2 linked regions of the Xenopus tropicalis genome follow. The protein of the gene in region 1 purifies or fractionates together with the protein of each later gene. This does not show direct contact. Links are inferred from orthologs where the notes say so. Each region holds a gene or a part of one and is shown on either strand. Other genes may lie near its edges.

Region 1 (6,095 bases):
TACCTATAATGATAAAAAAATAACACTACTGAAAATTTGTCCCTGTTTAGGTAAATGTGGCTCTTTTGGCATTTTCTATCCTCCAATCCACCACTAGTCTGTGTATGCTGGGTAGATCACTGCCCAATTTTGCTACACCTGCTGCTGCCTAAGTGGCCATTACTAGTATATATTGTAAGTATAATATATATAGTAATATCTCATCTAAACAAACAGTTTGCCAGGATGAGTGAAAATCAGCCAATTCACCCACTTTCTCTGCCCACTTGTATGAAGTCTTATTGTGACTGTGATATTTGTTTAAATATAATGATGGGGCATATGTGTGTTTAATTTTGCCCAATATTTTGGTGAGATGTCTCTGAAACTGTATTAAAATTATGAGGTGTTGCAAATAAACACTTGAAATATTTTAGATATTGGTTCCAAAGGTCTACAGAAGCCCCAAGGAGGTTTAGTACTGAAAAAGAGCTACTCCCTGTATATCCAATGAATAACATAAATGGACATTGATTAATCACCCATTTAGACTGATGTCATCTTGTTTTAGGTAGAATTCTCCACACACACTTGGAATGTTGGACTTCACAGTTGCAATGCAGATCCTATTACACTGTATAGTTAGGCACATGACAGTGAAGCAAATTGTTGGAGAGTATACAGTGGCTGTCTCTAAATAACAACAAAGACATCTAATAAACTTCACAGTGTTTATTTTTAGATTCAGGAATATATTTCTGTCTGCACTATGAAGTCTTATTGATGTTATGTTTTGCTCCCCAAGATTATGGATGGCTACTCAAAGCATGTTTGTAAGCAGCAAGAGAAGAGATACTTAGCATAGTTGTCACACTGAAAACACCTACTCTAACTGGGGATAAATTGTTACAAATGAATGGTATCAACAATTACGGCGTATAATATATTTATTTACCAGTAGGTATTTTCAGCCGACATAAGGGCATGCATTCCAGTTAAAAGAAAGAAGGTTCCATCCTAATTTTCGAGAAAGGGTTTTTTACAGTAAGAGTTGTGAAGTTGTGGAATTCTCACCCTGAATCAGTCGCTGGTTTTTTAACCAGCCTACAGGTCTTTGGAAAAGACCTGCTAAGAGAACTGATTCTCTGTTTTTTACTGTATTGTTATATGTATGTGCATATGAATTAACCTAAGGGTAAACCTGTGGGGTTAATTGAGGGGTCATTTATGAGTGCACTAAAAATGACGCAATGGGGAGTGCAATTCAGTAAGATAATTAATCTGTTTTAAAAAAGAAAGAAGCCATCTATTGCATGCTGTTTACCACTAAACTTCTTGTGACCAATAAATGTTTTGCATGCAACACCACAAATTTAGTTAGAAACTAGCTCCTGCTCTGTCATATGGGTGCACATTGTTTCAACTCTGACTTTTCTAATGAATATTAAGTGATGCAGGGTGACTCTGAAACTGTTTCCCCCCTTGGCTTGGTGGTTACACCAAGGTTTCAACGGTGGCTTGCATCAATAGATGCACCAGACTTGGGTCCAGTAAGTTGAATGCAAATGCCATTTTAAATGTACACCTTTACCCTGGAAATGCTATATGCATCTTGCACCTGATTTGCATCAGTATTCAAGCACACTGTGCTGGAATTGTGTGTAATTGTGGCAACAAAAATCAGGCACAATGCTGGAATTGTGGCACAAAACTTGATGAATTGTGTCCAAAATTGCACTTTTCACACTGTTGTAAATGACTCCTTTAGTATTATATTTACAAGGTTACTTAGCATTCGGGGTGTTCATCACTTAGGTTTCTTAATAAGAAATTTGCAATTGAAGTTTGACCTTGTCTAGATCATAGTCATTTCTCTTATTTATATTTTAATAGGTACAAACTTGGCTTGAGCACAACTCATTTAGAGCTGGAAAGTATAATATAACCTCAAGCTAAGCACTGATTGTAGAGTGGATACATACAAAAGAATTCCTTAAAATGCCTTATACAAAAAGATTTACTTTCACTTGATTTATAATGAATTATCAGTAAGTTAAATGATATTGATTACTCTGTGTACAGTCTTATGTATGTTAAATTATTAATACGAATGTGATCAGCAGTTTATTGTTATCTTGAAAGCTGTAATTAAATCCCATCTATAAACAGTGTATTCGTAAACACCTTTAAAATCAACCTGCAGCCAAATCAACCATTTTGTGCAACCTTTAGCTGGCCACATATAGACAGTAATGTTGTCCAATAACAGGACTTCATTACATCACAAGGGGTGACATACATAACATCATAGCTATCTTGAGTCTCTAAGCCACTTACATCTGATGTTTGAAAACTTGATAACATGTACTTATAATCTTAGGAGGCATTCTGTTAAATAGGACAGAGAAATGTAAATGTATTACTAAAGTTATATCATATTGCCTTGGCTGGAGGCTTGTGTAATTTTCCCAGCACTGATCCCAGTAAGCAAGCTCAGCAGTTCAGCACAGTGCATATCGTTTTACAGTGTGAACCTTGCAAAATACAACACTCTTTTAAACATGAGCAACTGCCAACTTCCATTTAACTTCATTCATCACTGTAATTCAAAGCAGGATCCTGTTGCAGAGATTTTGCTCCTTGGTTGTTATAAAAAAAGATACATGATAAATGTTGTTATAGTGTAATTAGTCAGCCTCAGAAGTTCCCTTTATGTAAGTTCCCTCTTACGTATAATGATACATGATCTGATAAATTGCTTGATGTTTACTTATAGGTTTTAACAGCTGACTGAACTGTGGTTAAGCAACAGTCAGACATAATAACATGTTTCACTTATGCAATATCACTTAATACGGGAAACTAAATTTGAAGCACCAATATTGGCATCTTCCAAAGATCAAACCTAGCAAGTAAACAAATCCAGAGCAGCACCATCTGTCAGTCTATATAAAACTGCCTGTGAAATAAATTTGGCCAGGAGAACACTGTATATTCATCATTACCAGGTCAAATGTAGTTCCGTGGCAAAGACCAGCCTGTCTGTCTAGATCAATGACACTGACTTGCTTGGCCTGACCATGCATCTTTATCCAATGTCAGTGCACCTTGTACTGCACCACACTACATGTCATATTGCTATTGATAAGCTACTTACTGCACAGTAGATCAATGTTGGAAAAGCTGTGCCTGACATCCTTTCATGTTCAAAGTTGCAGTTTATCAACTAAAAAGCTAAAAATAGGAAAAAAATCTCTTTCTGTTGGTTATTTTTTTTTTGTTATGGTAATTATTTTTAATCTTAGCAAGGTATTTCTAAATATGGTTCCTTTCTGTGACCCTTAATTGGAATGGCAAAGAAGTGAAAAAGCAGCGAAAATGCATGGCTGTATGTGTATACTTTTTAAAAGGATTTCATTTTTTTTTAAATATTTGCAAGAATAAAATAACTTGGCTGATTGCTGGAGACTGCTACATTCCTTGCAAGTTACTGCCCAGACATTAAGTTAAGACTCTGTGCTCAGTCTCGGTCTGGGATTGCCAGTGGTATAGGTAGCCAAGCTAAATTAAAAGCATGAATAGCATTTTAAATAAAATGACTATAGTGATTTGCAAATAAATTATAATTTAAGAAGAGAAGCATTCTTAATCCTTGAATACATAAAAAAGAAAATGGAAGCTCTCAGAGCAAAGTACAAAGTTTGCTCTAACTTGCTTTAATTATTTGCCTTCTCATATTTGTTTTCTCTGTAAAACACCAAATACTTCATTGAATAGTATTCAGTGCAGCATTATAAAAGAATGCATTGTTTGAGGATGCTGGTAGAATGCATGCTAGCGTTACCTTTATATTTCCAGGAGAATGAAATGAGCTTGTTAAAGTGCCTAGGGCTCACAGACAGCCCATAAGTTGCACCCTTGTCCTCCCCTGCAGCAGGTTGCCTCTGCCTCTGCGAAACTGCCCTGTAACACAGACTTTGTAGGCTACAGTTTATTTCTGGAGCACCGCATGATCAGACACGACAAGCCAAAACTCTGTCATGTAGCTCAGATTTCTTATGCAGAGATTAGAAGAGCCAGCTCTGCCATCCAGAATAATATTCCCTGTTGCATTGGCCTGCAGCAGATATTACTGGATCCCGTGGAGAAGTTGCACAGAGGGCTCACTCCTCCCTTGTCTCATTGTTTATACATCCTGACAATAGGCCTTATAAGGATACATTCTTAAGAAAAAAAGAAATGATTTTGGTATTCTTCCTTAGAGGTATCTGAGCCAAGTCATCACTTGTAACAAGTCCTTGATTTCCAACTGAACACTTAAAATTATTTGGCACAATCCCAGACTCATGCCATATAAATATATGTTTTAATTCCTTCTTCCAGAAGGAATGCAATAACAGTTGGAAAGATTTTATTGTTTAGACGTAAACGTAATTTTCTTTTAATTGTAACTTTTTTTTGGCTCAGTCAAACATTTGTTTTCTATATTCTGTGAAAAAAAAGTACAGAAAATGGCTGATTGTAAATTAAAGGCATATTTACAAGAGGCTGTTAATTGTGTACAGTGTGGAAGAACCACAGGTATATGTAGGCATTTGCATATGACTGTAATGAATTACAATTTCCAATGCTAAATACATGTCCTGTTCTTCAGCATGGAGAAAGCAGTTTCTTTTTGCACATGCAGACCTACCTCTCTGAGAGCTCTTCCACTGGAACATCCTCCTTTTGGTATGAGTGGAAAGATAATGCCTCCAGATGCAAGAATATGTCCTTTTCTTTCAAAACTTCACTGGAATGGTTTGGTAGTTTTCTTTGCCTTTTACAATATGCCCCATACATTATGGCTATGACTAAGTACCCCTCTTGGTACAAAATGTGTAAGGCTTTTTGGCATTGTGTACGGACATAATAAACTGAAAATGTTTTGACTCTAAATTGAGCTGCTTTGAAACATGTTTTGGTGATCCTGAGTGCCTGCCTGCATTTCCAGTGTATACTTTATTAATAACACAAGTTTAGATCTGCAGTATGTATTGCTTTTTGGTGTATATTTAGAATACACCTGAGAGCCATCTCTTAATAAAGCACACTCAATTGGGTACCTATTTAGCAGCACACATATAAATCAGCTGACATAGATAGGTGATGCAAAGTTTGATCATGTGGCTACTGTGTACCTTCAGATTTTCAGGTTGCCCACACCCTATAGGACCCTCCTTTGCAGTGCACCTTTAAGGTGTCCACACACATAACAAGTGAACCTTTATATTACCCACAGAGTGCTCCTTTAGGCCAGCCATACTAATGTAAATTTCAATCACCTATACATTTTCATGTTTGTCAGTAACAATGCACATAAAAAATTATTTATATAGTGAAATGGTCAAGCATTTGTGAAACAAGGCAGATGAAGAATGGAGTTTTAACATAGAAAAAACTACGTATGTTGTAAAAGTGACAAAAATAAAAAAGTGCAAAAGAATGGTATCTTTAGGGCTTATGCATCTGATGTGTGTTTGAGTGCACCTACAACACATCAGCTATCTGATTCCATTATATTCAACCAAAAACATACTTTGGCTCATTTAAAACCCACATATAAAGGCAATATATGTGTTTTTATGTGCTTTTATTTTTTTATTCTATAGCACAAATCTTTTATTCCATCATATTTACAATCATATCTGATATCTGCAAACATCTTTCACTGGTTGCCTAAACAAGTACCCACCAGGCCTTTTGTGTTTAATTGACTTCTTAATAATGCATATCCCATGGTTTGGCTCAGAAAGCCCTAAGAAAAGAAATAAACACCCCCACACAGTCGTTCTTGATGAAGGTCACTCCATGGAGCTTCCCATTGTTGTTAATTAGAAGCTGCCCATGGCAATTCTCAGCATTTTGAATGCTTCTTCTGAGTAGCAAAGAACAAAAGGCTACATGTGCCACTGCCCTTAAAGTCCATTAGTCAGTGGAGTAATTAAGGTATTACAAACAAGCAGAAAAAATACAAAGGTAACAGTTGGTGTTGTTTTACGAAAAATGTATATCTTGATTAACAGGTAAATAAATAGCAATGAAAACTGTGAAATAGTTATATTCCATGAATTTAG
Region 2 (5,934 bases), on another chromosome or scaffold:
CCCATAATCATCACTAATAACATTGCTGGTTTGAGAAGCTTGGAGTTGATTTACCCTTATGGCATACAATGTTCTTTTAACTACTGAGGTACAATCTTCTCACCTGCATTTACTCCCCAATCAAATGGAAGTGCTGGCAATGTCAAGGGGGGGGGGGATTATTTTGGGGAGGTTGGGTAGGGCCCAAAGTCATAGCCACTTAACATATTACAAAGATGCTGGTACATAGCTTAGTGAGAAAGGATCAGTGCAATCATTAATAAACTACAGAACCAGTCCGATTACAAACACTGGGGGTACCTGGCATATTGGCACCCAACCCTGTGTATTAGCCTCCCCTTATCCTATAACAGATCATGTACTTCCTGATTTTCGCTGCCTTCAAGCTTATTTCTAATGTGGAGAGCTAGGCAAACACTGACAGGAAATAAAGTATAGAAAGATAAAGATCAGCTCTAGGAGACAATTCCAATCAGGATAAAAAGCAAGCACTGCTTAAGACATTTGCCCTTCACTATGAAGGAATGACCCCATGCACACAGTGACGTAAGCCCAGCATCTTAATCCACTCACTACTAGGTAGCCATGAACTCTCTCCCCGGGCTTAGAAATCCAGTCAGTTATTAACATACCCACACAGTCCTCCTGTTTGTTCTCAGCTTGGCAGCGCAGGCAGGCATCTAGAAAGGAAAACACACCTTCCATTAAAATATTTCCTCTTATAACCCTCTTCTGCCCAGCAGCAAAAAATAAATTATATAATGTGGCTAAACAGGAAGGAATTCCATGCAGAAGAGGCTTGAATCCAATCTGAGGTGCATGTGTGTATATAATCACAGACAGACCTATCTGACATGAGATTTTTCATTTCTACATAGACCAGGGTGAGGTAGGGATTTAATGCCAATGTAAATTAATGGGATAGTCGCAGGAACTGAATGGGTCCATGAGAGTCACAGGAAGACTAGTATGGATAAAAGAGGACGGAACTGTACCCAAACTGTTGTCACAAAGTAGAAAACATGGAACCGTCATTAACAGTATAGTACACTGTTTCTTTCAATGGGGCCCTAACTGATTATTATTCCTCCCCACCAAGCTTTAAATCTGCATTATGCATTCAGGTAGGGAGTGTCCAGCTGGTGTCTGTCACCCACACTCATTTGGTAAACAACTAGGATGGTAACAAGGGATTCATCTGACAAAGGCCTGTTCCCACTGCTCCCAATATCCTCCCCAGGAGAAGCTTAGCATTCCAAATGTTAGGCTTGCGTGACACTGCCCTCTCATAGAAATCCTTATTCTTACTTTACCAACAGTTCTTGTGCTGCCATTGCTTTCAGGAACAGTGTGGAGCTCAGAAGTGAGTGTTCCAACTGACGGATATGTGCTGTAATCTGCGCTCAGCATTGCCTGCGAGTATCCAGGCCCCACTACTTCACTTTCCCACCTACATCTCACCAGCACCAAAATCTCACAAACTAAATAGCAACAAAACAGACATCTTATGATGATGCCATGTTAAAAATCACTAAGTTTGGCAATATTTGTTGCTGGTGCTTCATTATACCCCCAGATCAGTAATGAGACTGAAGTGTGGCTTAAATAATAACTTCCACTAATCTGAAGGGGAGTCTGGATACTTCAAACCATATAGTGTTTGTTTGTGTATATTTCACAATATAGAGAACTAGATCCTTTATTAACATCAATGCTGTGGGACAAGTAGCCAACACTTTATGTTTTTTATCATTTATTTGAATAAATGATGTGACACAATGGGGTGTATGGGAATAAATGATGTGACACATTGGGGTGTATGGGAATAAATGATGTGACACATTGGGGTGTATGGGAATAAATGATGTGACACAATGGGGTGTATGGGAATAAATGATGTGACACAATGGGGTGTATGGGAATAAATGATGTGACACAATGGGGTGTATGGGAATAAATGATGTGACACAATGGGGTGTATGGGAATAAATGATGTGACACAATGGGGTGTATGGGAATAAATGATGTGACACAATGGGGTGTATGGGAATAAATGATGTGACACAATGGGGTGTATGGGAATAAATGATGTGACACATTGGGGTGTATGGGAATAAATGATGTGACACAATGGGGTGTATGGGAATAAATGATGTGACACATTGGGGTGTATGGGAATAAATGATGTGACACATTGGGGTGTATGGGAATAAATGATGTGACACAATGGGGTGTATGGGAATAAATGATGTGACACAATGGGGTGTATGGGAATAAATGATGTGACACAATGGGGTGTATGGGAATAAATGATGTGACACATTGGGGTGTATGGGAATAAATGATGTGACACAATGGGGTGTATGGGAATAAATGATGTGACACATTGGGGTGTATGGGAATAAATGATGTGACACATTGGGGTGTATGGGAATAAATAATGTGACACAATGGGGTGTATGGGAATAAATGATGTGACACAATGGGGTGTATGGGAATAAATGATGTGACACAATGGGGTGTATGGGAATAAATGATGTGACACAATGGGGTGTATGGGAATAAATGATGTGACACAATGGGGTGTATGGGAATAAATGATGTGACACAATGGGGTGTATGGGAATAAATGATGTGACACAATGGGGTGTATGGGAATAAATGATGTGACACAATGGGGTGTATGGGAATAAATGATGTGACACAATGGGGTGTATGGGAATAAATGATGTGACACAATGGGGTGTATGGGAATAAATGATGTGACACAATGGGGTGTATGGGCAGTAGTGTAACTGGTGGGCATGGGTGCAGTCCCACAGGGAATATCATGGCAAAATCCAAACAGATGGGGCAGATGGGGGGGTGAAAGCATTGGCACAGGGAGGGGGGGAAGGATGCTAAATAGCCAAGGGGCTATAGCAACATTACTGTCTATGGAGATTTGAGTCATCCAGGGGGGCATAAAAAGCTACTAGGAATGGGATGTCCCTCTCCCCCCAGGATGACAATACAGGAAGGGTAATGGTATATTCCATATACCGCCTGTGTGCGCCTGTCATTTCAGTAGGTGACAGTAACCCCCGGCCCCCACCAGAGACTGTATGGCCGATTCCCCAAGCAGGGCTGCTGCTGGCAGCGGAAGGTAATTCCCGCAACACGAAGCCTTCGCCCCAGTGCCAGCGAGCTGTATCTCTCACCCATGACCTGCACCCTGCAGATAGCGCACGTATCGCACTCCACATCCCAGCTCCACATCGCCACCGCGTTCCATTTCTTCAAGGAGAACATCTTGGGTCCGCTCGCTCCGTGCTCCTCCCGCAAAGCAGCCATACCGGCAGGGGGCGGCTCCTCAGATAGCCAATCCTTTCGATGTGCTGCGGTAATTGACCCAATGAGAGAAGAGCACAGGCTAAGCTAAGCCAATCGCTTTAGCAAAATATATCTGTAGAGCCAATCCCAGTACGCAAGACATAGGGTTACGCCCCTAGAGAAGCAACCAATAGCTATACTGGTTCTATTCGCCCGAAACAGTTAAGGGAAAGGCGCTGCGATTTGTTGCTGGGGCGGAGCATGGTGTTGCCTGATGTCAGTATTTGTGTTTAGTGACAAATATAATGAACATTAGGTTTATATTTAAAAGTGTTATCATTGATATATTCCTAGGTGAGGATGATTTTGCTCGTTTATCAACCCTGGGTGAATTTGCACATGGGCAGTAACCTATAGCAACCAATGACCAATTAGCTTCATTTCAGTCAGCTGCATGTAGAGTATTTATGTATGTATGTGTATATATATATATATATATATCTTTATTTATAAAGCGCTACTTATGTACGCAGCGCTGTACAGTAGAATACATTAATGTAAACAGGGTGTTAATAAGATAATAGATAAATACAAAGTATAACAATAAATACAGATAAATACAGCTGCAATAAGTTAAGAGTCAAAGACACAAGAGGATGGAGGTCCCTGCCCCGTAGAGCTTACAATCTATATGGGAGGGGTAACTTACAGACACAAATAGGCAAATATAAGTGCTGTAGGTCACAGTGGGTGACACTACAATATAAGTGCCAGTTCCCAGATCAGGTGCTGGGTGAGTCTAAAGTCTTTTAGTTTAGTCTTAAAAAGACTGGGGGAGGATTCTCTCCGGAGGACATCAGGGAGGGCATTCCAAATGTAAGGGGCAGAAAGGTTTAAGGCGGGAAACCGCAGTAGTAGTGGGGGGCGCAACCAAGCGATTGCTCTGCGAGGAACGAAGGAGTCGGCCAGGAACGTACGGAGACACAAGGGAAGAGATGTAGTGAGGAGCAGAGGAATAGAGGGCTTTGAAGGTTAGGAGGAGTTTGTAAAGGTGGCCATACACGAGGCGATTTCGCTCGTTGTGCGATGAACGATTATATCGACAAACGATCGTATGGCGATCGAGTTCCCATACGATATGCCATCCACGGGCAACGATAATTCGGGAAAGATTTTGTCGCATCATTATCGTAAAATACCTACGATCGTACATCTACGTACGATCGATGTCGTTGACTTCTGCTGCTGGCAATCGTGACATGCGCAGAGAACAATCGTTGAAAGACAAATGTCTGACACTCACACCAACTGGCAGATTTTATCGTTAAACGACCAAAATTTTTAAACCTGGCCGATCGATTTTGGGGACGGTAATGTCGGCTCGTTTAGTGGGCCGACGATCGTTCGTACACCACCAACTATACGATAACTTAACGATAGCATCGGATCGTTCGGGAATCGGTCGTTTGTAAGTAAAAAATCGGTCCGTGTATGGCCACCTTTAGATATAGAGTGAAAGCAAACAATTGATTTATCTGATCAGAAGTTCTCAGTCCAATTTTATTTATATATTTGATGAATTAGATTTCCCCTTTTTTATACGGTTTCCATGTTCTGTGAGAGTGGGTTCTCTCTCCACGACACGGGACCAGCTCGCAAGGTTGGCAATCGCTGCCTGGGAAGTTGAACTTGGGTCCCTGGGGAACTAGATGATTCAAAAATATGTTCATTAGGTCCCACACAGTCATTCTGACAGATCTTCCTGCAAACTTGTCAAACCAAAGATTATCAGCCAATTATCTGCCAATGCACTATATCAGTGAGTGAGGGTACGGCGCATTAGCAAATCATTTAGTGATTTTTAGAAAATAATTTACATTTGCAAGTACGGTTAGTATCAGCCGGATGACACTTAGCTACACTAAGCTCACACTGTATATGTGCAGGCTCTATGGATATAGGTAGGGGGGAAGGTATGAATGTGGTCCCAGCAGAGATTGATGGCCAGGAGCTTCTCAGATGGCTGTTAGTGAAAGGAAGAGCACTGTGCCCCATGTTGGGTAAAGGAGAGTCAGTGTTTGGTCTCTTAGATGATATTTAAGGTGTCTTCTGTTCTATGGGTTTTCTTCAGCTAAAGACAAGCTTGGTCTGATATTCTAGAGGCATTTCAATTACGGGTGTTTTTTTTTTCTAGTGTGGTGAACATTTTTTCTAGCTTCTCTTTTATTCCTAGTGCTTTTATTGCTTCTTAGTCTTATGGTGCCCAGTTCCCCCCTTTTTTGTCTAGGTCAGGGTCCCCAAACTTTTTTTACTCGTAAGCCACATTGAAATATACAAAGGATTGGGGAGCAATACAAGCGTAAAAAAAATCCTAGGGATGCCAAATAAGAGCTATAATTGCCTATTTGGTAGACTGTGTATTGGCTGACAGCCTACAGAAGGTTTTGTTTGTTAGTAGACCTGGTTTTCGTGCAACCAAAACATACCTCCAAGCCAGAAATTCAAAAATAAGCACCTGCTTAGAGGCCACTGGGAGCAACATCCAAGGGGTTGGATGAGCCACTGGTTGGGGATCACTGGTGTAGGTATTGCCTCCAGGAATGCAGCCAAGAACACATAGCT

Evidence for each region.
Region 2: the proteins of asb2 (region 1) and rnf7 purify together in Homo sapiens (affinity purification with western blotting; 3 studies listed by BioGRID and IntAct, with this or other methods). This does not show direct contact. The link is inferred for Xenopus tropicalis from reciprocal best matches to the Homo sapiens genes ASB2 and RNF7.

What each region holds. Positions count from the first base shown.
Region 1 is NC_030684.2:88,131,840-88,137,934, forward strand, and holds the start of asb2 (ankyrin repeat and SOCS box protein 2), read right to left. Parts: upstream 4,054-6,095; 5' UTR 3,824-4,053; intron 1-3,823. UniProt on the Homo sapiens protein: Substrate-recognition component of a SCF-like ECS (Elongin-Cullin-SOCS-box protein) E3 ubiquitin-protein ligase complex which mediates the ubiquitination and subsequent proteasomal degradation of target proteins.
Region 2 is NC_030681.2:129,412,878-129,418,811, reverse strand, and holds the start of rnf7 (RING-box protein 2), read right to left. Parts: upstream 3,373-5,934; 5' UTR 3,334-3,372; coding exon 3,201-3,333; intron 681-3,200; coding exon 633-680; intron 1-632. UniProt on the Homo sapiens protein: Catalytic component of multiple cullin-5-RING E3 ubiquitin-protein ligase complexes (ECS complexes), which mediate the ubiquitination and subsequent proteasomal degradation of target proteins.